Caenorhabditis elegans: one gene and its partners. The protein of the gene in region 1 interacts with the protein of each later gene in a pairwise test. Each region holds a gene or a part of one and is shown in the gene's direction. Other genes may lie near its edges.

Evidence for each region.
Region 2: the proteins of umps-1 (region 1) and Y47G6A.5 interact in a two-hybrid assay, tested with the Caenorhabditis elegans proteins (one large-scale study listed by BioGRID).
Region 3: the proteins of umps-1 (region 1) and rps-15A interact in a two-hybrid assay, tested with the Caenorhabditis elegans proteins (one large-scale study listed by BioGRID).
Region 4: the proteins of umps-1 (region 1) and C53D6.6 interact in a two-hybrid assay, tested with the Caenorhabditis elegans proteins (one large-scale study listed by BioGRID).

The regions. Positions count from the first base shown.
Region 1 is NC_003281.10:10,355,288-10,359,388, reverse strand, and holds umps-1 (Orotidine 5'-phosphate decarboxylase), read left to right. Parts: upstream 1-1,740; 5' UTR 1,741-1,745; coding exon 1,746-1,913; intron 1,914-1,988; coding exon 1,989-2,438; intron 2,439-2,493; coding exon 2,494-3,317; intron 3,318-3,369; coding exon 3,370-3,421; 3' UTR 3,422-3,552; downstream 3,553-4,101. Other genes in the region: spp-1 (Saposin B-type domain-containing protein), read left to right, coding at 3,872-4,003, 4,053-4,101. UniProt on the Caenorhabditis elegans protein: Bifunctional enzyme which catalyzes the formation of UMP from orotate in the de novo pathway of pyrimidine biosynthesis. May also form UMP from uracil. Regulates the size of gut granules during embryonic development.
Region 2 is NC_003279.8:3,532,133-3,539,884, forward strand, and holds Y47G6A.5 (Tyrosine-protein kinase), read left to right. Parts: upstream 1-1,752; 5' UTR 1,753-1,861; coding exon 1,862-1,982; intron 1,983-2,568; exon of another isoform or gene 2,569-2,617; intron 2,618-2,662; coding exon 2,663-2,827; intron 2,828-3,014; coding exon 3,015-3,137; intron 3,138-3,187; coding exon 3,188-3,296; intron 3,297-3,582; coding exon 3,583-3,800; intron 3,801-3,904; coding exon 3,905-4,033; intron 4,034-4,199; coding exon 4,200-4,357; intron 4,358-4,408; coding exon 4,409-4,500; intron 4,501-4,840; coding exon 4,841-5,060; intron 5,061-5,107; coding exon 5,108-5,340; intron 5,341-6,480; coding exon 6,481-6,769; 3' UTR 6,770-7,448; downstream 7,449-7,752. Other genes in the region: Poly(U)-binding-splicing factor rnp-6, read right to left, coding at 7,515-7,752.
Region 3 is NC_003281.10:1,948,789-1,951,948, forward strand, and holds rps-15A (Ribosomal Protein, Small subunit), read left to right. Parts: upstream 1-1,871; 5' UTR 1,872-1,887; coding exon 1,888-1,983; intron 1,984-2,032; exon of another isoform or gene 2,033-2,199; coding exon of another isoform or gene 2,200-2,208; intron 2,209-2,284; coding exon 2,285-2,581; 3' UTR 2,582-2,636; downstream 2,637-3,160. Other genes in the region: polh-1 (DNA polymerase eta), read right to left, coding at 182-357, 441-645, 936-1,095, 1,144-1,290, 1,342-1,469; F53A3.7 (DNL-type domain-containing protein), read left to right, coding at 2,739-2,882, 2,936-3,052, 3,125-3,160.
Region 4 is NC_003282.8:9,027,161-9,033,349, reverse strand, and holds C53D6.6 (HAT C-terminal dimerization domain-containing protein), read left to right. Parts: upstream 1-1,694; 5' UTR 1,695-1,703; coding exon 1,704-1,833; intron 1,834-1,877; coding exon 1,878-2,908; intron 2,909-2,952; coding exon 2,953-3,132; intron 3,133-4,993; coding exon 4,994-5,236; intron 5,237-5,285; coding exon 5,286-5,549; 3' UTR 5,550-5,670; downstream 5,671-6,189.

The DNA.
Region 1 (4,101 bases):
AAAATATCTAAAGAAAACGGGAAAAGTTCAAATAGGCACAGTTTTAAGTATTTTCGTCTTATAAAAAATCCCTCTAAATATTTACGGCAAATCAGATATTCGGCAAATCGGCAAGCCGGCAATTTGTCGACAAAAAAATTTGCCGGAGCAATTGCCGCCCACCCCTGATTTGTAGTGCGATTAAACAAATTCAACAATATATTTTAATAGTTTTCAAGAAAAAATGTTTTTTTTTTAATTCAAAGTTAGGCAGGGGTCATGATATTGGGAAAATCGTGAGGCTGAATTTTTCTGCAATTTTCAAATTTCCAAAACTATGCACAATGAGCTTCTCGAGAGACTCCTTTCTCTCTCTCTCTTTTTTTCGCTTCGTTTTTTCTATTTTCTAGAAGGGACGCGCACTCACTCACGCTACACTCAATTTAGTTAAATTGCTCTAGAATGTGTTGCTGGAATGGGGAAAAGAGGAACAACGTCATCTCTCGAGAGCTCTCATAATTGGGTGAACGCATCACTGAACACACCACGACAACTTTGGCTGGGCAGGAAAATGAGTTTATGGGAGAAACGGGAAAGTGTTGGAAATGTTGTTTTTTGTAAAGATTGACTGAAAACAATTTTAAAAATTTAAAATGTTCCTGTGATTTTTTTAATTCAGAACTTCGAGCCTCCCGCAAAATTTTTTCGGAAATTTTAAACTGCTTGAATTTCCCGCCTGAATTATTTGAAAAAATAATTTTTCCGACAACGTTTTTTTTGATGAAAACTTAGAATTAAAATACTATAAATCCTGAGAATGCGTATTGCGCAGCATATTTTACGCGCAAAATATCTCGTAGCGAAAACTACAGTAATTCTTAAAATGACTACTGTAGCGCATGTGTCGATTTACGGGCTCAATTTTTGAAGTTATTTTTTTTCGAATAGTAACATCGAAATATCATTTTCATTCGTTTTTTCGTATTATTTTCCCTTTTCTCTTAAAGTTAATTTTAAAAATCGAACCCGTAAATCGACACAAGCGCTACAGTAGTCATTTAAAGATTACTGTAGTTTTCGCTAAGAGATATTTTGCGCGTCAGATATGCTGTTCGCGTTTGGGGAATATCGATCGTCACTAGTCAAAAATTTTAGAGGGGTATATAATGTTTATAATGTTTATATGACAATTTTTAAAATAATGCATCTATTTTTCATTGAGAAATTTTTATTAATTGTTTTTCTTATATTCATTTGAAACTATAACATCATATCTTTGATTAATCATTATTTAAATCTTAAAATTTCTCGAGCCCTATTTAAATAAAACTTAATTAAATTTATCGACAAGATCCCGCAGAAAAACTAAATTTGAAATTCCCTCTCATTGTGTTGCGTACAGCACACCAAATGTTACGCAACTTTCTCTGCGTCTCTCTCCATCGCATTGTCTCTCTTCTACCGTAACCTTCAAGTTTTCTCTTCAAAAAATAGTTTTTCAAATCCAATTTTCGTTCTTTTTCTGTTTTCCCGCTGTAAAACTAAGAAATCTGAACAAAATGCAATTTTATTTCTTTTCCCAAGCTTTTTCTTATCAATCAATCTCTTTGTTCTCTTTCTCCTACTCTTCTCCGCTTCAAAACTTGTTATCAAATCGTACTACTGCTTTCTGCACAAGTATATATTATCTCCCTCAGTCTTATCGTTATATTTTACATTCATCGCTACTATTTTCCATCAAAAAGTAATCGTACTATTCAGAGAAAATGAGCTCGCTCACCGACAAAACCCGAAATGGAGCCCTGAAGCGGAATCTGCTCCGCCAAATGCTCAAAGCGAGCGTCTTCAAATTCGGCGAGTTTCAGCTCAAGTCTGGGCAGATTTCACCGATTTATATCGATCTTCGCGAATGCTTTGGGCATCCGGGGCTTTTGGTGAGTTTTTTAAAGTTTAAAAAAAAAATAATAGCTTATTTTAATGATTTTTATTTAAAAGAAAACTATTTCCAGATGCTTATCTCAGAAGCGATATCGAAGCAGGTGGAGATTAGCGAGGTTCAGTACGCTGGAGTTCTTGGAATCCCATACGCGGCTCTTCCCTACGCATCAGTCGCCGCTGGAAACTATCTGAAGAAGCCGCTGCTCATCGTTCGCAAAGAGGCCAAGTCCTACGGCACGAAGAAGCTCATCGAGGGATTGTACCAGCCAAACGATCGTCTGATCCTCATCGAAGACGTCGTGACGACAGGTGGAAGCATCCTGGACGTGGTAAAAGTGCTTCACACAGAGAATTTGGTCGCCTCGGATGTATTTTGCATTCTGGATCGAGAACAAGGCGGGCGTCAGAAGCTCCAGGACGCGGGTGTCACGCTGCACAGCCTGCTCGACATGCAAACAGTTCTCACATTCTTGTACTCAACTGGAGCGATCGGTGACGAGCAGTGGCACGGAATTGTTCAGGTTAGTCAAATTATCTCGATTTTCTATTTAAAAATAAAATAATTGATTATTTCAGGCTCTCAACCTTCCGTACACCTCCCCAACAAAGCTGGAAATCAACAGCGAGCTCGAAAACCTGTCCAGTCTACCGTACGTGGAAAACGTGCGAACTCCGCTTGCGGAACGCGAATCCCTCACAGAATCTGCACTCATCAAGAAAATTCTTGGAATCATGCGCCGGAAGAAGTCGAATCTGTGTCTCGCTGTCGACTACACTACCGTCGAGCAGTGCCTTCAGATGATCGAGCTCGCTGGTCCATTTGTGCTGGCGATCAAGCTTCACGCCGACGCTATCACCGATTTCAACGAGGAATTCACGAGGAAGCTGACGACGATGGCAAATGATATGGACTTTATCATTTTCGAGGATCGGAAGTTTGGCGACACTGGAAACACGAACCTTCTTCAGCTCACTGGAGCCCAGAAAATCGCCAACTGGGCGGATGTTGTGACTGTTCATGCCGTACAAGGAAGTGACAGCATTGCAGGAGTCTTCAGGAAGCTCGCCAAAGATCCGACTTACAGGCTCAGTGGAGTTCTCCTCATCGCGCAGCTCAGCACCAAAGGATCTTTGACTGCGCTGGAAGGATACACCGAGACCGCCGTCAAGATTGCCAACGAGAATCGTGACGTGATTTCTGGATTCATCACTCAGACGAGAGTGTCTGCTTGCTCGGATCTTCTCAATTGGACGCCCGGTGTGAATCTCGACGCGAAATCCGACTCGGCCGGTCAGCAGTGGAGAGGTGTCGACGAGGCGATCGAAGTACAGCAGAACGACATCATCATCGTCGGAAGAGGCGTCACGTCGTCCAGTGAGCCCGTTCAGCAGCTCAAGAGGTTTGTTTTTTTTTTTTTAATTAAATTTTTAAATGTCAATTTTCTCTTTCAGATATCGACAAATCGCCTGGGATGCGCTCACGAGAAGCGACGATAGCATTTGAAAGTTGAAAAATCCGGAGAGCCTATTTGTAAAGAAGAAATGTGAATATTTATCTAATTACGTATTTATTTAACTTTGTTGATTTTGTTCAAGCTTCCCCAGAATTGTTGAAATAAGTAAATTGATTGCCTCCATCTTCCTCAAATTATCAAGAAATCACATGCCCACACCATTTACTTTACTGCTAACCTGATTAATCAATATTTTCTCCGTCAAGGCGAAAAGCTACTCCTCTAAGCGATCTTATCAGTTCGAAAAATCGGCATCTGATGTGTGAACGACCCGGTGTGTATTCTATAATGTCCTTTGATCTTTTCCTCCATGCTGAAAACATCAGAAACGATTCGATTCCTTATCAGTGCCGCCGCGAAGTTGATAAAAGACACGAGCATCACTGCTCCGGGTGCATTTTCGCTTCATTTCTCCAGTTTTTCATCTTAAAATCTACAGAATGACTCGCATTCTTCCGTGTCTTTTCCTTGTCTTGCTCGCCGCTGCTCCACTTCTAGCCAATCCAGCTAACCCACTCAATCTCAAGAAGCATCACGGTGTTTTCTGTGATGTCTGCAAGGCTCTCGTCGAGGTTTGTGCTCCAAATATCTCCAATTTTCCTCGTTATTCACATATTTCAGGGTGGAGAGAAGGTTGGAGATGATGATCTCGATGCATGGCTTGATGTGA
Region 2 (7,752 bases), on another chromosome or scaffold:
AAGTTAAATTAATACAATTTGATTAGTAATACTAGGGAAAATATTAGGAAAATCTTACTGAAATTTGTTCTTAATCTAAAAATCTGATTAAACGATATCCCACCTTTTCAATTTTGTGATGATAGGCAGCCAGGATTTTGTGCCTGCCTATTTCTGATAGGTATGTATTTTGTATTTTACAGTGCTCCAAAACTGCTCATGTTATTACAGTTGTATCCTTTCGGCAGCAAAATTAGGCGTATAGTTTTTTTTTGCAGGCAGGTATGTAGGCATGCAGGCAGTTAGGCGCGTTTGGCAGGTAGATCTACTCTGATAAATTTAAATTTAAACTTATCTTGATTCTTGGTAGTTTTCGTGCATTTTGGAGTGCCCAATTTGTTGGCTTCTATACATATAAGAATTGATAGGTTGAGGGCAGGCGTGTAGGCAGAGCGAGGTAGGCATTGTGGAACATGATTGGAAGTTATAAGTTGCCACATGTGACACCCTAGTTCCAGTGCACTTTTAGAAATCTAGTAATATTTGAAGTTTTTGTTTCAGTTCCGTTCCAGGCATTGACATATTTTCCGTTCCAACTGTGCCCTCGCAGTTAATTTTTATCAAGTTATTGATATTTGTAAAAATGCCAGGAATGCATGCCTGTTTGCTTCACCTTACATTTACCAAATTATTACTTTTTGATAAATACTGTACTAGCAAGTACTAGCAAACGCCACAATGATCTTTCAACAGGAATTAGCATTGATAAATTTATTATGCATAACTTTTTTGGTTTCAGAATTTGGGAACAAAATATCGCCAAAATGAACATCACATTGCTTTTCGTATGTTAATGAAACATCTTTCTCGCTGTTTTTATTTTTTGAATTTTTCTGACAAAGGGCTCAATCCCCTTGTGATTATCTTTTCCCATTTTTGCACTGTATTCAAATAAAATCGAGCCGATCATTTAGGTAAATCATTAGAAGCTTCTGCTGCAAAACCGAATGTTTGTTCGCTGAAAGTGTAAGTGATGAAACGATTGGGTGTAATGAAGGAACCAGTTTTGTTTTAAGTTTTTGAATTCGATACCGAGACTCTTTTCGTTGTCTATGTCCCAATTTTAAAGGGGATTAACTTTCTGAATTATAAAAAATTTCAACTGTGAAAATATACATGGGTTGGAAAAGGGTACTTATGGTTGTAACCTCAACATCGAGCTAAGTGTATTGTCCAGTTAATTATTTGAGCCAGCATAGTAGATAACCAACTTTTGGTGGAACTTTTAAAAAACCGGTCCGTATCGTTTTTTTTTAAAGAAAAAATAATTTTATCCAGACTTTTAAAATTTTCGTACTGAATTTCTTAGAAATATTTCCGATTTTTCAGATAATCTAGCACGTTCCAAACGCAGTTTTCGTGGTTAATTCACTGAAATTGTTAATTTTTCAAGTTATGAAAACTCTGATTTAAAAAAAATTTCAGTCCAATTCTAGTTTTCAAAAAAATAAAGCAATTTTAAAATCCAATTTTCATAATATTTGTAAAATAAGCAGAACAAAATTTTTGTATTTCAATTTAAAGAAATAATACTGTTTCAAATAGTCATACGATTTCAAAAGTCTGCCAAAAGCACGCAATCTCCTACGTCATCGCATAGAATAATCATCCGAAGTGATGAGTAACTCTAAAATTAAATGACGGTCAACATGCACCAGCCACACACGCTGAAGCTTATCTGCCTTCTTCCTATGTTAAATATGGTCAGAAAACAGTGTGTGTGTGTGTAAATGGAAAGAGAGAGAGGAGTTTCAGAGTGTGCTCTCTCTCTCTCTCTCTTTTTTTTTGGGAAAGTCAGTCAGTTTCTTCTCGATTGATCGATATGGGTCACAAGCATTCACATCACGAAAAGAAGAATAAAAAAGATGAACGAAATAATAATAGGGAATATCGATCGGCTGTGTTGTTGGATGATGGTTCGTTTTCAAGCCAGGAACTTGCATGTGAGTTTATAATTTTATTGATTTTTATTATTAACTCCTATATAATCGATTCAATTAGTTGGAAAACTCCTTTTATTTTTGGTAATTTTTCAAAATGGTATGTTGGTTCAATATGTTTTGAAAAATTTTACCGTTTTAGCAATTCTTGAAACAGCTTTTTATTCTTAATAAAGAAAAATACACATAAAGTTATTGAACAATTTTTCCTCACCAATTATTTTTATTTGCCTCGGGTCCTGGCACGAACAAAACTTTTCAACTACCGTAGCCGAGGCTAATATTTTTTGATTTTGTAAATTTCTCTTTTCACTCCATAATGATTTTTCAGTAAAACAGTACTTTAATAATATAAAAATTTAAGAAAAATGTTCAATAATAAATTGCTCAAAAATTCATTTTCTCCAGTTCTCGTTAACCTTTTTGATCATTCTATCATAACGGAAAACGAATTTTTTATTTGCTCGGACACGTCATTTCTAGTTCTTCGCGTTGTACTGGCACTGATCACATTCCCGTGTAGTTTCTGCTTTTTCTCAAAAAATTTCTTATCAGGAATATGCCTAATTGTGATTTTTCGATTGGTTCTGAAGATGCGGTAGGGAGGTAGGCATAAGGCAGGCGCGTCATTCAAGAAGGTTCAAGATATAAATGATTTTTAAATATATTATACACTTTTTCAGTACGACCTGTGATGCCAGAATCCACACCATCAGTCGCTGTACCAGCCAAACCTCCACCACTTCGTCCGTCTACACAATCAGTTTCCAGTACGGATCCTCGTCCTCCGATTCCGCCAAGAAGATCAGAATCCAATTTGGTACCTCCGCCAATTCCACATCATTCCGGTAAGTTACAGTTAATGAAAAATGCCTGCCTATCTGCCTTCGAGGCAGCCTGAGTGCATCCACCTATTATATTACCTTGGTAGGTATATACGTCTTCAGGCCTGTGCGCCTGCCTACCTAGGCCTGAAAAGGCGTGTAGGCACAACGTAGGCGTAAAGCTAGATAAAAATAAAATACTAATTTTCAGGTAACATTTCGCGGCATCCATCAGCAACTTCTACAAAAAGTGTTCCAAATGGAGCTTCATTTTCTCCTCGACCAGTTTCAAAAACACATTCACATCATGGCTCAGCAAAGTGCTCACATTCAGGTAAACTTATATGATGCACCATGTTTGACGCGCAATTACAATTTTTTCAGAACCTGAAGAGAAAATGCTCATTGTGGAGAACCGCTTCTTGGCACAGACTCCGAAAGAAATGAGTGTCGAGGAGGGAGATGTACTCTATCTTATTGAGCAGAGCAACCGGTAGGTTTTTTGAATTTCAAATGAAAACTGTTATACACCATATCTTACGCGCAAGTTTTTAAATTAAAAAAAAATTGCGCGTAAAATACGATGTGTTTCGTCGACTTCAATACACCAAACGCAACTTTTTCAAAATTAAAAAAAAACAGTTCGGTTCGACCGCTATGCATCATATCCTACGCGCAATTTTCAAAATTTCACACAAAAAACCTCTCTCTCTCTCTCTGGCCGAGATTTACCGATTTTTCTAGGCCATCCCTCACTTTCACCCAAATTTTTTTTCCAGAGAATGGTGGTACGTGGCAAGTAAGTCCCGACAATTCAAAGGTTTTGTCCCAAAATCCCATGTGGTCTATGCCGAATACCGAGAGCCATGGTTCGCTGGAAATATATCATCAATTCTGGCAGAACAGAGGGTCATGCAACCGCAACTACCAATCGGATCTTTTTTGATTCGGGAAAATTCGAAAACCGACACATTTGTGCTAGTTGTCAGAAGTTCTCGTGAGTCGTTGGGGGCCGCAGAAGAGAACATTCGGTCATGGCCGAGTTTTCCATTTTCACGGCCACGCAGCAAGTCCCCGGCCAGATGAAATATTAATTTTCAGATAACGAGTCACCACAAGCTTATATCATCTACCGACGACCGAATCAAGAAGGCTTTGAAATTAGAGATAATCATAGACCGGCGGTTATTCATTTCGGATCACTTCATCAATTGGTAAACCATTATAGTTGTAAGTTTTCTGGCCACACCCCTTTATTTGACGTTTTTTAAGTTTTCGGCATTTTTAATACATTAAGAGATCAGTGAAAGCAGTCAAAATTTTCAAGATTTATTTGCAAAATTGCTGGCAATCAAACTTTGTTTTTAAATCAGTGAACTGCAATTCAAATTTCCAGGCGAAAAAGTACCTGGAGAAATTCAAATCTGCACAAAGCTCACAAAAGCTGCTCCACCACTGCCCGAGCAAACCGAGTACATGGCAATGAAGAAGATTCATGTCAACAGAAGTGAAGTGAGAAGAGTCAAAGAAATTGGAAGAGGACAATTCGGAGAAGTGAGTTCTCGATACACCATGATTGACGCGCAAGTTTGAAATAATTTCTAGGTGTACCTTGCGAAGTGGAAGGGAGTGGATGTTGCTGTGAAGTCGTTGAAACCAGATCACTCTGAACAATTGGCAAATACGCAGTTTTTAGAGTGAGTTGGAATATTATAAGGATACGAAAAATTCGACTTTTGAAAATGAAGTGCAATCGCGCTCCAATTAAAGATTTTTTGTAGTTTTTTTTTAATGTTTTTCCACTGTTTTCATGATTTTTATGTCGAAAAAACGTTTTCTCTAATTTTGATATAAAATATCAATTTAAAAAAACAAGAATGAAATTTGCGAAATAATAATTTAAAGCGTTTGAATTTTTTACCGCCAATATCTAACAAGACCCTTATTTGGCGTTGGAGCGTGCACATCAACTTTAAAAGACTAATTTTTCACGTCTCCATAATACACCATATTTGACGCAGAAATCTAAAATTCCAGAGAAGCAAAAACGCTGACAAAACTTTCTCATCAAAATGTCATCCATCTACTCGCAGTCTGTGACACCGACAAACCATACCTAATTATCACCGAATTTATGACCAACGGATCCTTATTAGCGTGGCTACAAAAGCTCACAAAAACTCTTCCACCAATTCCCCTGATGAGTGAAGAGACCGGAAGAAAGAATGTTTTGATTGGAGCGAGTATCTCTGCGCAGGTATGGAAAACATCATATTTGACGCGCAAATTTGTGTATAATTTCAGGTGGCTTCCGGTATGGATTACCTATCGGCAAATAAGATTGTTCATCGAGATTTGGCCGCAAGAAATGTTCTTGTTGGAACAGTTTCGTCAAATGGAGTGCCTCTTGTGAAAGTTGCGGATTTTGGTTTGGCACGAAAAACAGACGTTGGAGATGAGAATTATGTGATGAAAACTGATAATATGTTGCCGTGGAAATGGATGGCGCCTGAGTGTTTTGATGAACAGATTTTCAAGTAAGTTGTCTAATTATTATTGAAAATTTGCGCGTAAAATGTGATGTACTGCCACGGTCCCTGGTTTTTGCAAGTTTTTCTCGAAAATGGTTCCCATTTGAAAATTATATTTAAAAATAGGATATTTTCGATGCTGTATTTGCGAGAAATATTTTTTAAATTTATATTACCTATCCGCGCCGAAATTCGTCGCCAAATTGGGTCCTGACACGAACCAAACTTTTCACCTACCGTACCTCAGCGGGTTTTCTTTCGATTTCTTCATTTTTTTTAAAGAATTGTTCAAATTAAATGTCAAATATCGAGAGCAAGTTGCAGTTGAAATTTACCGTACCCTCGGTTACGGTAGCCGAAAAGTTTCGCTCGTTTTAGGACCCAACAACGTAATTTTCTTTCCTTAAACATGTAGTATTATCCAGATGAGATATTCTTGCGCCGAAAAATCCGGTGACTGGTCTTGACACGGCAAATTTCTTGTGAATAGTAAACAACTGTGCGCCTTTAAAGATTACTGCAATTTCAAACTTTCGTCGTTGCAAAATTTTTATCATTTTTTTAAATAGTTTTCGATGAACATTTCTTTATTTTATGATATTTTGAAAAAAAGCTCAGATTTCAACAAATCGTGAGAAAAACTATGTAAAATCGATGCAAATTTGAAAACTCCGCAGCAACAAAAGTTTGAAACTACAGTAATCTTTAAAGGCGCGCACCTTTTTGCAATTAGCAAAAGTTTGTCGTGTCGAGACCTGGTACCGTATTTCTAGCGCAAAAATCGCGCTTTTCTTTTTTTGAAAACAATCATAAAATCTGTCAGTTGTTATTTTAAAGGCGCAATTTCGAAATGGTTTGTCAATAAATATTTTCGCGTTAAGACCCATACTCATGATCACCATTATCTCCCTTTGAAATGGTATGCTGATTTTATTGATTTAACAAGTACAGTAGCCCGGGTCTCGTTAGGTATTGGCGGGAACAACAGAAAAAGTTCCAAAACCCTAAAATGTCTGAAAATGGTGGAAAAAATGCAAAAAGGAAACATTTAAATTCATGATTTTCCCGCCAACACCTAACGAGACCCTAATACGCCGCTGGAGCGCGCTTGCAAATCAATTTCATAAAATTTTCTCAATTTTTTAGCACAAAAACCGACGTCTGGTCGTACGGAATTCTTCTCTGGGAGATTGGAACTCTTGGAAAAACACCATATCGAGGATGGGATTACGAGGGAACACTTGAACATCTGTCACGTGGATATGTGCTGCCACGTCCTGAACTGGTTCCGGATTACGTGTACGAGGATGCGTTCAAAATTTGTGTCCACCTGGATCCGCGGCGCCGTCCGACGTTCGATCGATTGTTCAAGTATTTTGATGAGATCAACTGTGAAAGTCTCTCATCACAGCGTTTCACCTCATCTCGTCACTGATTCTCATATTTATCCCTAATTTTTTTTTGCAAACTTGCAAAGTTTTCACTGGTTTTTGTGTGTGTGTGTGTTTTTTTTGCTTTCATTCGGACGCAAAATTCCGCGATTTCGGCGCCAAAACTACGGTAGCTGGTCTTGACACGACAATTTTTTGTTAAATGTGAATAGGTGTGCGCCTTTAGAGAGTACTGTAACTTCAAACTTTTGTTGCTACGGAACTTTTATCGATTTTTCGATTAAAAGAAATTTATATATTGAAAAAATAAATTTTTTCTGAATTTTTCTCACGATTTGTTAAGTTTTTCAATAAATAAATATAGTTTTTTTTCGAAAAATCTATGAAAATTTCGCAAAAAATACAATTATTTATTGAAAAAAAAATCTAAATTTGAAAAATTGCGAAAATTCGGCATTTTTCATAATTTATTTCCTCGATTTGTTAAAATTTGAGTTTTTTTTAAATAAATGAATAAATATGTAAACATCGAAAAATCTATGAAAATTTGGCAGCTCAAAATTACAGTACTCTTTTAAGGCGCACACATTTTTGCATTTATCAAAAAATGTTTCGTGTCGAGACCAGACACCGGGGGAAAATCGCAAAATTTCGCGTCTGAGTAATATTAAATTGTACAAAAACCAAAGACAAAATGAAACGTATGAGATTCATAGAATTAAAAACATGGAGGAATTCGAGAATACAAATGGAAAAAACCAAAAAAAAAAAAACAATAAATTAAATTAATTATCCAGTATAATCGGCATGATCAAATAAAATCTGATCATATGCCTCCGCTTTGACAGTATTTCCACCAAAAAATCGTCCATCCAGTGCCGCTTTTGCCCGATCCACCTGCATCGAATCCGAGTATTTCACAAAAATCTTGACAAGTCCGCTGGATGCAAAATTCGCGATTACCACATCAATGACATTTCCATATTTTCCACATTCTTCACGAATCTCGCCCTCAAGGAATTCATCG
Region 3 (3,160 bases), 8.4 Mb from region 1:
CTTTTTTTTTTGCCAGAAAAAATTGATTTTTTTTTGAGTATTTCCAAATTTCTAGGTTCAATGAAAAATATTTAAAAATTGTATAAAAACGCCTAAAATTGCAGATTTCAGACATTTCAGATAATTTTTCGATGAAAATTCTGAAAATAACTTGGAATTTTGAATATTTTCGCTTCCGTACAGTGATATTAAGCATTTCTTGAATGCGATTTCCCATTTTTCCGCCAAATCCTCGAACATCTCCGATTGGCGTAAGCCGGAGAATTTCTCGAACATAGAACCACGGAATTAACGTTTGTTGGCGTGGTTTATGCCGGGCGCACACCAATTTCGCCATCATTTTGTTGTTTCCGACGCCTGAAAATGGAAAATTGCGATTTTTGGGCGAATTTTTCCCCCCAAAAAATGAATTTTTCTGGATTTTCCGGCAAAATCCATACCCGCCGAGCAAAAAAACTGGGTTTCCTCGTGAATTTGTTGCCGAATTTGCTCTACAGTGACCGCGGCAATCAGTAAAAGCAGGTTTTCCGTGCAATTTCTCGCATTTTCAATATATTCCAGCAGCACATCTTCTCGTAGGTGCTCATTTTCTTTCACATCTTCTCCGGTAGCGAGGTGTGTGGTTGGGAGGTAGGTAATAGCAGCCTGAAATGCGAAAATTAGGCAATTTTTAGCGAAAAAATCATGGATTTTGCTTGAAAATTCATTAACAAACGGCAAAAAACCTGTGGACCTAGTGCCGCCCGGCGCGAGCGGTCGCGTCGCGGTTGGCACGTTTTTTAGAGGTAATTTGAAATTCTTGAATTTTATTAATTGAATTTAGCGGAAAATCAGGTTTTTCGCGTTTTTTTTCTTGAAAAAACTGCTAATTCTGCAAAAAGATGCTGAAATAGGGGGGATTTTTCTCATTTTTCAACTTTTCAAGCTAGATTTACCTGCAAAAACTCCTCCAATCCCTCGTTTTCTCTCAATTCTTGCAATTTTTGATTAGTATACGCGGATAAATCAAGAAAAGCCTCATCGACAGACGCTTTTTCGATTATAATTTGCGAGTCGTAATTGTTCAGCACCCGGAAGACTTCTGCGCTAGCGTCGCTGAAAAAATAGCAATTTTTGGGACTTTTTCAATATAAGAATTCCAACCGATATTTCTGAATATCAGCTTTATCTACATATTCTCCAATCGGAACGTGACATATTGATATTTGAGGGCATTTTAACTTCGCTTCGGCCACCGTCATCCCTCGTTTCACTCCGAACGGGCGGGCTTCATAGCTTACAGCCAAAATTCTGGAAATTTCGGGCTTTTTTTGGAGAATTTCAGATTAAAATTCAGCTTACCCACCCTCGATACCCTGCCTGGAGTGCTGCACGACGATCACCGGCTGTCCCCAAAGCGATGGATTGTCCCGTTGTTCGACTTGTGCGTAGAAACAGTCCATATCGATGAGGCTGATCACTCTTTTCATGTTTTATGTGTCTGAAAATATTCAAAAACTATGAAAAGTTGAAAAAAAAAAGAAAAAAAGCCGGAAATTGCGAAAAAACGAATTTTTAAAACAAAAAAAAACCAAAATCAATGTTTGAAACCCCGCCTAAAGTGCACTGCAATCGCGCTCCACTAAGACGATTTGGCTGCTTGGCTGAGTATTCAACGTTAATGCATAGGCGGTGGAAAGGCGTAGGCCAACGAAGTTTTTCACATACTTTTCTCGAATTTCCGTGATTTTTAGGTGATTTTCTCCATTTTTTGTGGTTTTAAGCATTTTCCAGTAGTTTTGATGCGAAATACCTACAAATATTCATCGAAATGTGTCTGTTTTGCTTCGCGTTCTCATAATTTTTGTAAAAATGAATTCCCGAATTTTCAGGTAAAAACAAGCAGACATGGTTCGCATGAACGTCCTCGCCGATGCGCTCAACGCCATCAACAACGCCGAGAAGCGCGGAAAGCGTCAGGTTCTCATCCGTCCAGCCTCCAAGGTAAATTCGCGTCGTTCTTCGAGAATTCTCAATGCATTTTTGTTAATAGATGATGATGCTGGCAGCCTCGGTCGCAAAAAATGACCAAGGCTCTCCGTGAATTTAGAATTTAGTGAAAGAAACTCGGTTTTATTTCCAAACATAACTTTCGGTTCTAATTAAACGGAGACACCCTTGGTTAGATTCTCTCAATCTGGAGATCTTCCTGGGATATGAATGTTGAAGGTAACCAGCTTAACATCTACTTTCCGTATTTCTAGTTTTCCACCTGTCCCTTCCCATCGCAACAATAATTTTCCAGGTCATCGTCCGCTTCTTGACCGTCATGATGAAGCACGGATACATCGGAGAGTTCGAGATCGTCGACGACCACCGCGCCGGAAAGATCGTCGTCAACCTCACCGGACGTCTCAACAAGGCCTCCGTCATCTCCCCACGTCTCAACATCCGTCTAAACGATTTGGAGAAGTACACCAACACCCTCCTCCCATCCCGTCAGTTCGGATATCTCATCCTTACCACCTCCGCCGGAATCATGGATCACGAGGAGGCCAGAAGAAAGCATTTGGGAGGAAAGATTCTCGGATTCTTCTTCTAAATCCAAACCCTAATTTTTTGTTTGTTATTATTACAAATAAATTGTTGTTACAACTACAACCGAGTCGTGTGTTCAGTTCGGCATCCAACTTTTCAGGGTTTCTAAATATCTTTTAAAACCTTTGGGTTTCGTTTTCGGGGACCACGAATTTTTCAGAATGCTCCGCTCAGCAGTTTCAGCTCTCTATAGAGCATCGAGAAGCTTCTCCGAGACAGTTCCCAGACTTTCAGCCACTCCACTGGGGAAGCAAGAGCCCCAGTTGTCCCTGTCATACACCTGCAAAGTGTGCAACTCCCGGGAGGTTTGAGCCAAGAAAGCTAGAAAACTGGATTTGAAATTCCTAATAATTTCAAGGGCCCAAAAACATTTGCCAAGTCATCATACGAGAAGGGAGTTGTCATTGTCACGTGCTCCGGCTGTCACAACCATCACATCATCGCTGACAATATCGGATGGTTCGAGGACTTTAAAGTGAGCATTTTTGCTCTTGAAAACGGAGCATCGTTGACGCGTGTTGTTTAGCGTAAATCCAATTTTTTCCAGGGAAAAAACATCGAGGATCATCTGAAAACGCGAGGA
Region 4 (6,189 bases), on another chromosome or scaffold:
CAATGAATTTACTTAATGTCCAAAACTTAAGGCCAGCATATGCATTTTGAAGGAAGCAATTTTCTTTCCATGATACATTTCTCTGTGGCTTAAAATACTATAGATTATTATGGATGAGAAAAAATCTATTTAAAAACACCTTAACTTTCAATTTCATCCCTAATGTTCCTCCAATATGAAATGCTCTCAAACCAAATAAAGTTAAACATTTTACGCACTCTGGTTTTTTGTTCTCTTACTGATGCATTTCAGATGTAAAACGGAGATCAGTATATATAGTACTCATTAAAGGTACGAGACCATGCAGGTACTGTTATTTTTCGCAAAAAAATTTTCCTCAGTTGGTTTTTTTTCCGTTCAGCAAAAGTTGCAAAAAATAGTTTTCTTCTTCTTTCCAATTTTACTAGATATACTGAAATTTAAAATCTATCCGAATAAATGATTTTCTGGTTACTTTCCCCCCAACATTTAGTTCAGAAACCCAAAAAAAACGTATTTTCCGTCTTGCCGTTTTGCATTGAAAACAGAAAGAGAAACGCGTATTTTTTCGACACACTCAGACACATACACACAGACGCACACGAGAGATGTCAACAAATAACGAGTCGGAAAAAGAGAAAAAAAGAGGACGGCTGGAGAAGACCAATGCCTCGTCAGAACGAGAGAGAAGAGAAAAAGAGAAACAAAGGCACTGCATTTTACGACTCGCCTTTACACGACATTTCATCGACCAGAAATTTATTGGTTTTTTGCTCGATTTTTTGTAAGTTTATCGTAAAACCTAACTCGTAATACGTATAATAGATTTTGTAATAAAAATGCATTGCAAGGTTTATTTTAGTTGTAAAATTAAAATGATAAAATTTGTGCCCGTAAACTTTCAAAATAGTTCAAGACTTCACACCACTTGCCTTTGAATTTACGATTAAACAGATATTATCGTACTAGTTTTAGTTTCTATCGCTAATGTCTTTTTAAACGTCTTCATTTTTACGATGTAAATGTTTTCAAATTTTTTTTTTAATTGACGGCATTTTTAGTTAAAGTTATCTAATTTTTTCTCAGCTTATTATGTGTTTGACGGAATAGATAGAAATGATTTTTTGTAGAATCGAATTTTTTGTCTCAACAATTTTGGGCATGTTGAAAAACCGATGTCGTCAAAATTGTTTTGCTTTATTCGTAAATGATTTTGAAAAAAATGTCCATTTTCGAAATTACTTCCAATTATTAAATGTAGAGTAGCGCCAAAGTGTTCGAAATTAATTTCAGGACCCAAATATAGTAATGAAACTTCTCAGGAACTTTTTGAAATGTTTTATCCACTGCCTGAAGGTATTTACTATTTTGCAAGTCGACTAGATGTTTTTAAAATAATTTCAATTTTTTTACTTATATGTATTCAATTATTGTAGAGATATGATGCAAGAATTCTATAAGTTTAAAATATTTGACAGGAAATTTTTGAATGATCGAGGCAAAAAATTGGGGCATTTCCATTTATCGTTAAGACATATTTTGTGTTCGGATCAGCTCGAAAGTAAATTTTTCGAGTTTCTCATGTTATTTGCTGTTAGTTTGTGCATTTTCAGAGCTCCCACGTCAAAATGGCATGTTCTGGAGCGTTTTTGGTCTAACCATATGTTATGACGACCACGCATTTCAATTTATCCTTAAGACACACAATTTTTCAGATCAAAATAATGGTGAACTTAAAATATGACGATTATTTTACACCACTCGTTGATGGAACTCGATTGTGCAAGATTTTGATTGGTTCCGGTGATAACAAAACTGTTTGTGGACATCCAATAAAGAAACAAAAGAAATCAAGTGAGTCATTTTATATCTTCGATTATTAACTCTACGATTTCAAGGTACAAGTGGAATATTGTATCACTTAAGAGCAAATCATCCGGATACACTTCTTGAAATTGGTGGAAGTCTTGAAGTTCAGCCATTGAAAAAGCGAAAGTTAGGCGAGGAATGGCGAATTCCAGAGAATAAATCTGGAACTGAAGGAGATTTTATCAACTGGACAGCAGAAGATTTTGAGGAAAAACGAATCAATGATGCACTGATAAATATGATATGTCTTGATGCAATGCCACTCTCAACATTAGAACGTCCTGGAATACAACACTTTCTGAATGAAGTGTGTCCTACATTTGTGCCAAAAGGAAAAAATCAAATGAACGTAATGGTACATAGTCTTCATTTCAAATACGAGCAACGTCTGAGAGAAGAACTCCGAAATGTGGAATATGTTGGACTAGGATGCTATTCATGGAACAAAGACGATAGAAAAAATGAACAAGTTGTTGGAATCAGCTGTCATTTTATGAATTCTGATGGATCAATTGTTACAAGGTTTCTGGATGCTATACATATTTCTGATCCTCATGAAGATCCTGAATTGGAGATTGAAAATGCAATCAAATCCATTACGGATTATTATTCAATCGGAAACAAAGTTGTGGCAATGATTAAAGATGGAGTCTCAAACTTGAAGCTTTCTGCTCAATTGCTAGAATTTGATATATACGATTGTACATGGAATAGTCTCTCACTTGCCTCTATTTCAGGAATTAACACAATTCCAGGAGGAACTGAACTTATTGAAAAATGCAAGAAAATCGTTCAAAAAATCAACGAATCGGCAGTATATGAAACGAGTTTAATTGGAGAATATATGACCATCGATTCAGCTGATCTTGTCAAATCCGGCAAGTTGAATTGGATTACTGTCGTTAGTATGTTTGAGCAGTTCACTAAGTTGAAAGGACTACTCGATACATTTTTGATGAATGACATGGAAGGCCTGATGCTCTATCAACAAGATTACGATCTTATGGAGATTATCCTGAGAACACTGTCTCCCTTGAAAACTGCCGTCGATTTTGGAAAAGTTAGTTTATGATTAAAATATATCCTTTCAAATTGATGTTACAGCAACACACATTCCGGATTTCTGCAATAATTTCCTTAATTTCTGCATTGATTTCAAAGTACTCGGCAGAACACTCATATGATATGTGCAAGGCTATCAAATTGACACTTGAAGAAGAATTGAAAAGATATCTCCAAATTCCGACACTTTTGTTTGCAACTGTTATCGATCCAAGAGTAAAGGTTAGTTTTGTTTAAAACTATTTAACATGCAGGTTGAGGTCCTTGCCAAAATTTCAAAAAATTTTAATACAGTGCGTCCAACTTCTATAGCACCCCCCTCCAATTCGGCCGTTTGGAGCTTTTCAAAATATTTTTTTTGGAAAAGTGTTAGTGCAGTTCGATAGCAAATGTTGAAAAACCTATGCTCCCCAATTTTTATCATGATATCTCAAAAATCACGGAAATTAGGTCAAAATATCTGAAAAATGGCCGTCCAACTTCTATAGCACCCCATCTGATTTTTGACAAATTTCTGTAAATTCGGGGGTTTTCTTCGTAGTTAATGAATTTATTTTGTAAATCACACCAAAATAATCAGGTGGTTTCACTTTCACATTTAAAAAATAAATATAACCCTTGAAAACACGTGGAATGCCTGGGATTGTCCTGGAACATACTTATTTGCTTCAGAGGCCATATCTCGGCTCCCAATGATTTTCGCAGCACCAAAATTGATCAAAATGTTCTTCTCCGTCTATTCATTACTATGTAATTAGTTGTAGAAAGCATTTATTCATATGAACCAAATGGTAAAGGGAGCAACTTCAGTGGTTTTTAAAAGGTTCGTTTTAACCATGAAAACGAGCGTTCGCAGGCGCAGAGCTGAAGGTTTTGACTTTGTATGGTACAGAATTTCAGCTCATATGATTTAAATATCTTTGAAGCTTCGATTTTGATTAGAAGTCTTTGAAATTTTATTTGGACGAGTTCACGAGACCGCTCAAAAAAGAGGACAAAGGCAAAGCGAGGCCGCAAGTCTTTTTTTCAAGCTAACATGCGAAAATTTTAGACAGAAAAGTAAGATATACCTTTCCGAATGACGATTTTGCTAGTTGTATTTATAACTCAAGTTAAATTTAGCGAATTTGCTCATTGAATCTTTTTTTGGTCAAGTAATGCAAAAGCTACCAGACAAAACATTGAACCTGCGATTGTAGATGTCTGGCATCTGATTTACCCATGGATTTCCACGGATTTGTTGTTCATGTAAAATAATTTTTAATTTTACCTATAATGTAGTAATTTTTAGTCAAAAATGTATACCCAACCATTATCTCTGCGCCTCCGAACGCTTGTTTTCATGGTTAAAACGAACCTTTTAAAAACCACTGAAGTTGCTCCCTTTACCATTTGGTTCATATGAATAAATGCTTTCTACAACTAATTACATAGTAATGAATAGACGGAGAAGAACATTTTGATCAATTTTGGTGCTGCGAAAATCATTGGGAGCCGAGATATGGCCTCTGAAGCAAATAAGTATGTTCCAGGACAATCCCAGGCATTCCACGTGTTTCCAAGGGTTATATTTATTTTTTAAATGTGAAAGTGAAACCACCTGATTATTTTGGTGTGATTTACAAAATAAATTCATTAACTACGAAGAAAACCCCGAATTTACAGAAATTTGTCAAAAATCAGAGGGGGTGCTATAGAAGTTGGACGGCCATTTTTCAGATATTTTGACCTAATTTCCGTGATTTTTGAGATATCATGATAAAAATTGGGGAGCAAAGGTTTTTCAACATTTGCTATCGAACTGCACTAACACTTTTCCAAAAAATATTTTGAAAAGCTCCAAACGGCCGAATTGGAGGGGGGTGCTATAGAAGTTGGACGCACTGTAGATAGAAGTGGCTTCAAACAGTAAAAACATGTAATTATTTAATTTTAATTTAATCACCAGACACGAAATTTGCCAATATACCAAAACTTTTTTTTAGAGAGTTTCAAAATACAGTTTTAAAAGTATCTACTTTTTAAAAGTAATGTTGAAACTAAAAACTGCACATTTTGTTGTTTATAAAAAATTATTTTGCAGTTATTATTACTGCCTGCGACAGCAAAGGAAATTGTGCAGAAGAAACTTGAAAAAATTGCACAAAATATAAGGAATGCAGAAGACGTAAAAGATGTTGCAATTACTCACAACCAGCATTGTAAAACTGATGTTCAAAGCAATTATGATCTATTCGCAGAGTTGTTCAAAAAATTACACGGAGAAAATTATCAGAATTCTTGTAAAGAGGGAGAGATCGTGAGCCCACAAGCAATGGCTAAGACAGTATGTTTCTTTCAGTGAATATTTTCGAACATTAATTGATATTATTCAGGAGCTAGAACGATGGATTTCGGAGCCAAACATTGCATTTGAGGAGCCTATAGTGTTTTGGCAAAAAGCAGAAAATCGAACTAGATATCCTCTTTTATTCCAACTCTCTTCAATTGTATTATGCCTACCGGGTGCTTTGTTGAATACTGAAAATCTTACTTCCGCTAAGAATCTACTTTTCGAGCATCAAATTGGCTGTGAAGATCAAACTAATCAGAAAATATTATTCCTTCATCAGAACATGAAATTAATTGGTATTCTATGATAATTTATCTAAAAGCTTGTTTTCATTCTGAAATGCATGCTTCAATGATTGTATAATTTCCATATTGAATTTGAAATTAATATTTACTTTCTTTAAAATGACAAAAATAAACTATGCATTTTTATTTTCCAAATGAAATGAATACAACTAATTAATACAATTTTGAATGGTTTTACATACATTTTAATATTTTGTCCAAATAATTTAATCGGTCATTCGATTTGTATGAATCTTCTTAACAATCTTCTGGGTGTGATTATCATATCCTTTCAATTTGTCATCTGATGCCTCAATATACTTCTTGATGCGATTTATTCGCTCCTGCCATTGTTTTTTCAATTCGTCACTAGTGGCTTTGTCAAGTTTTGGATCTTTCAGTTTCTGCTCGATTTCTAATTTTTCAGTCCGCTGTCGGAAGAATTTGTTCAACTCCTTCTCATATTCGTCACCTTTCTTTTCTTCTTGTTTTTCAAATGTTTCTTTCTGAAATATGACATCTATTCTCCCTTATGTCCACTAATTCATTTTTGTGCTAAAAATATAAAAAACACAAACCTCAACAGATTTCAGCTCACAGAGAAGTCGGAATTTCTCTTCGAAGTCGTTCTTCACTTCAACAGAAACCATTTTGTTTTTATAG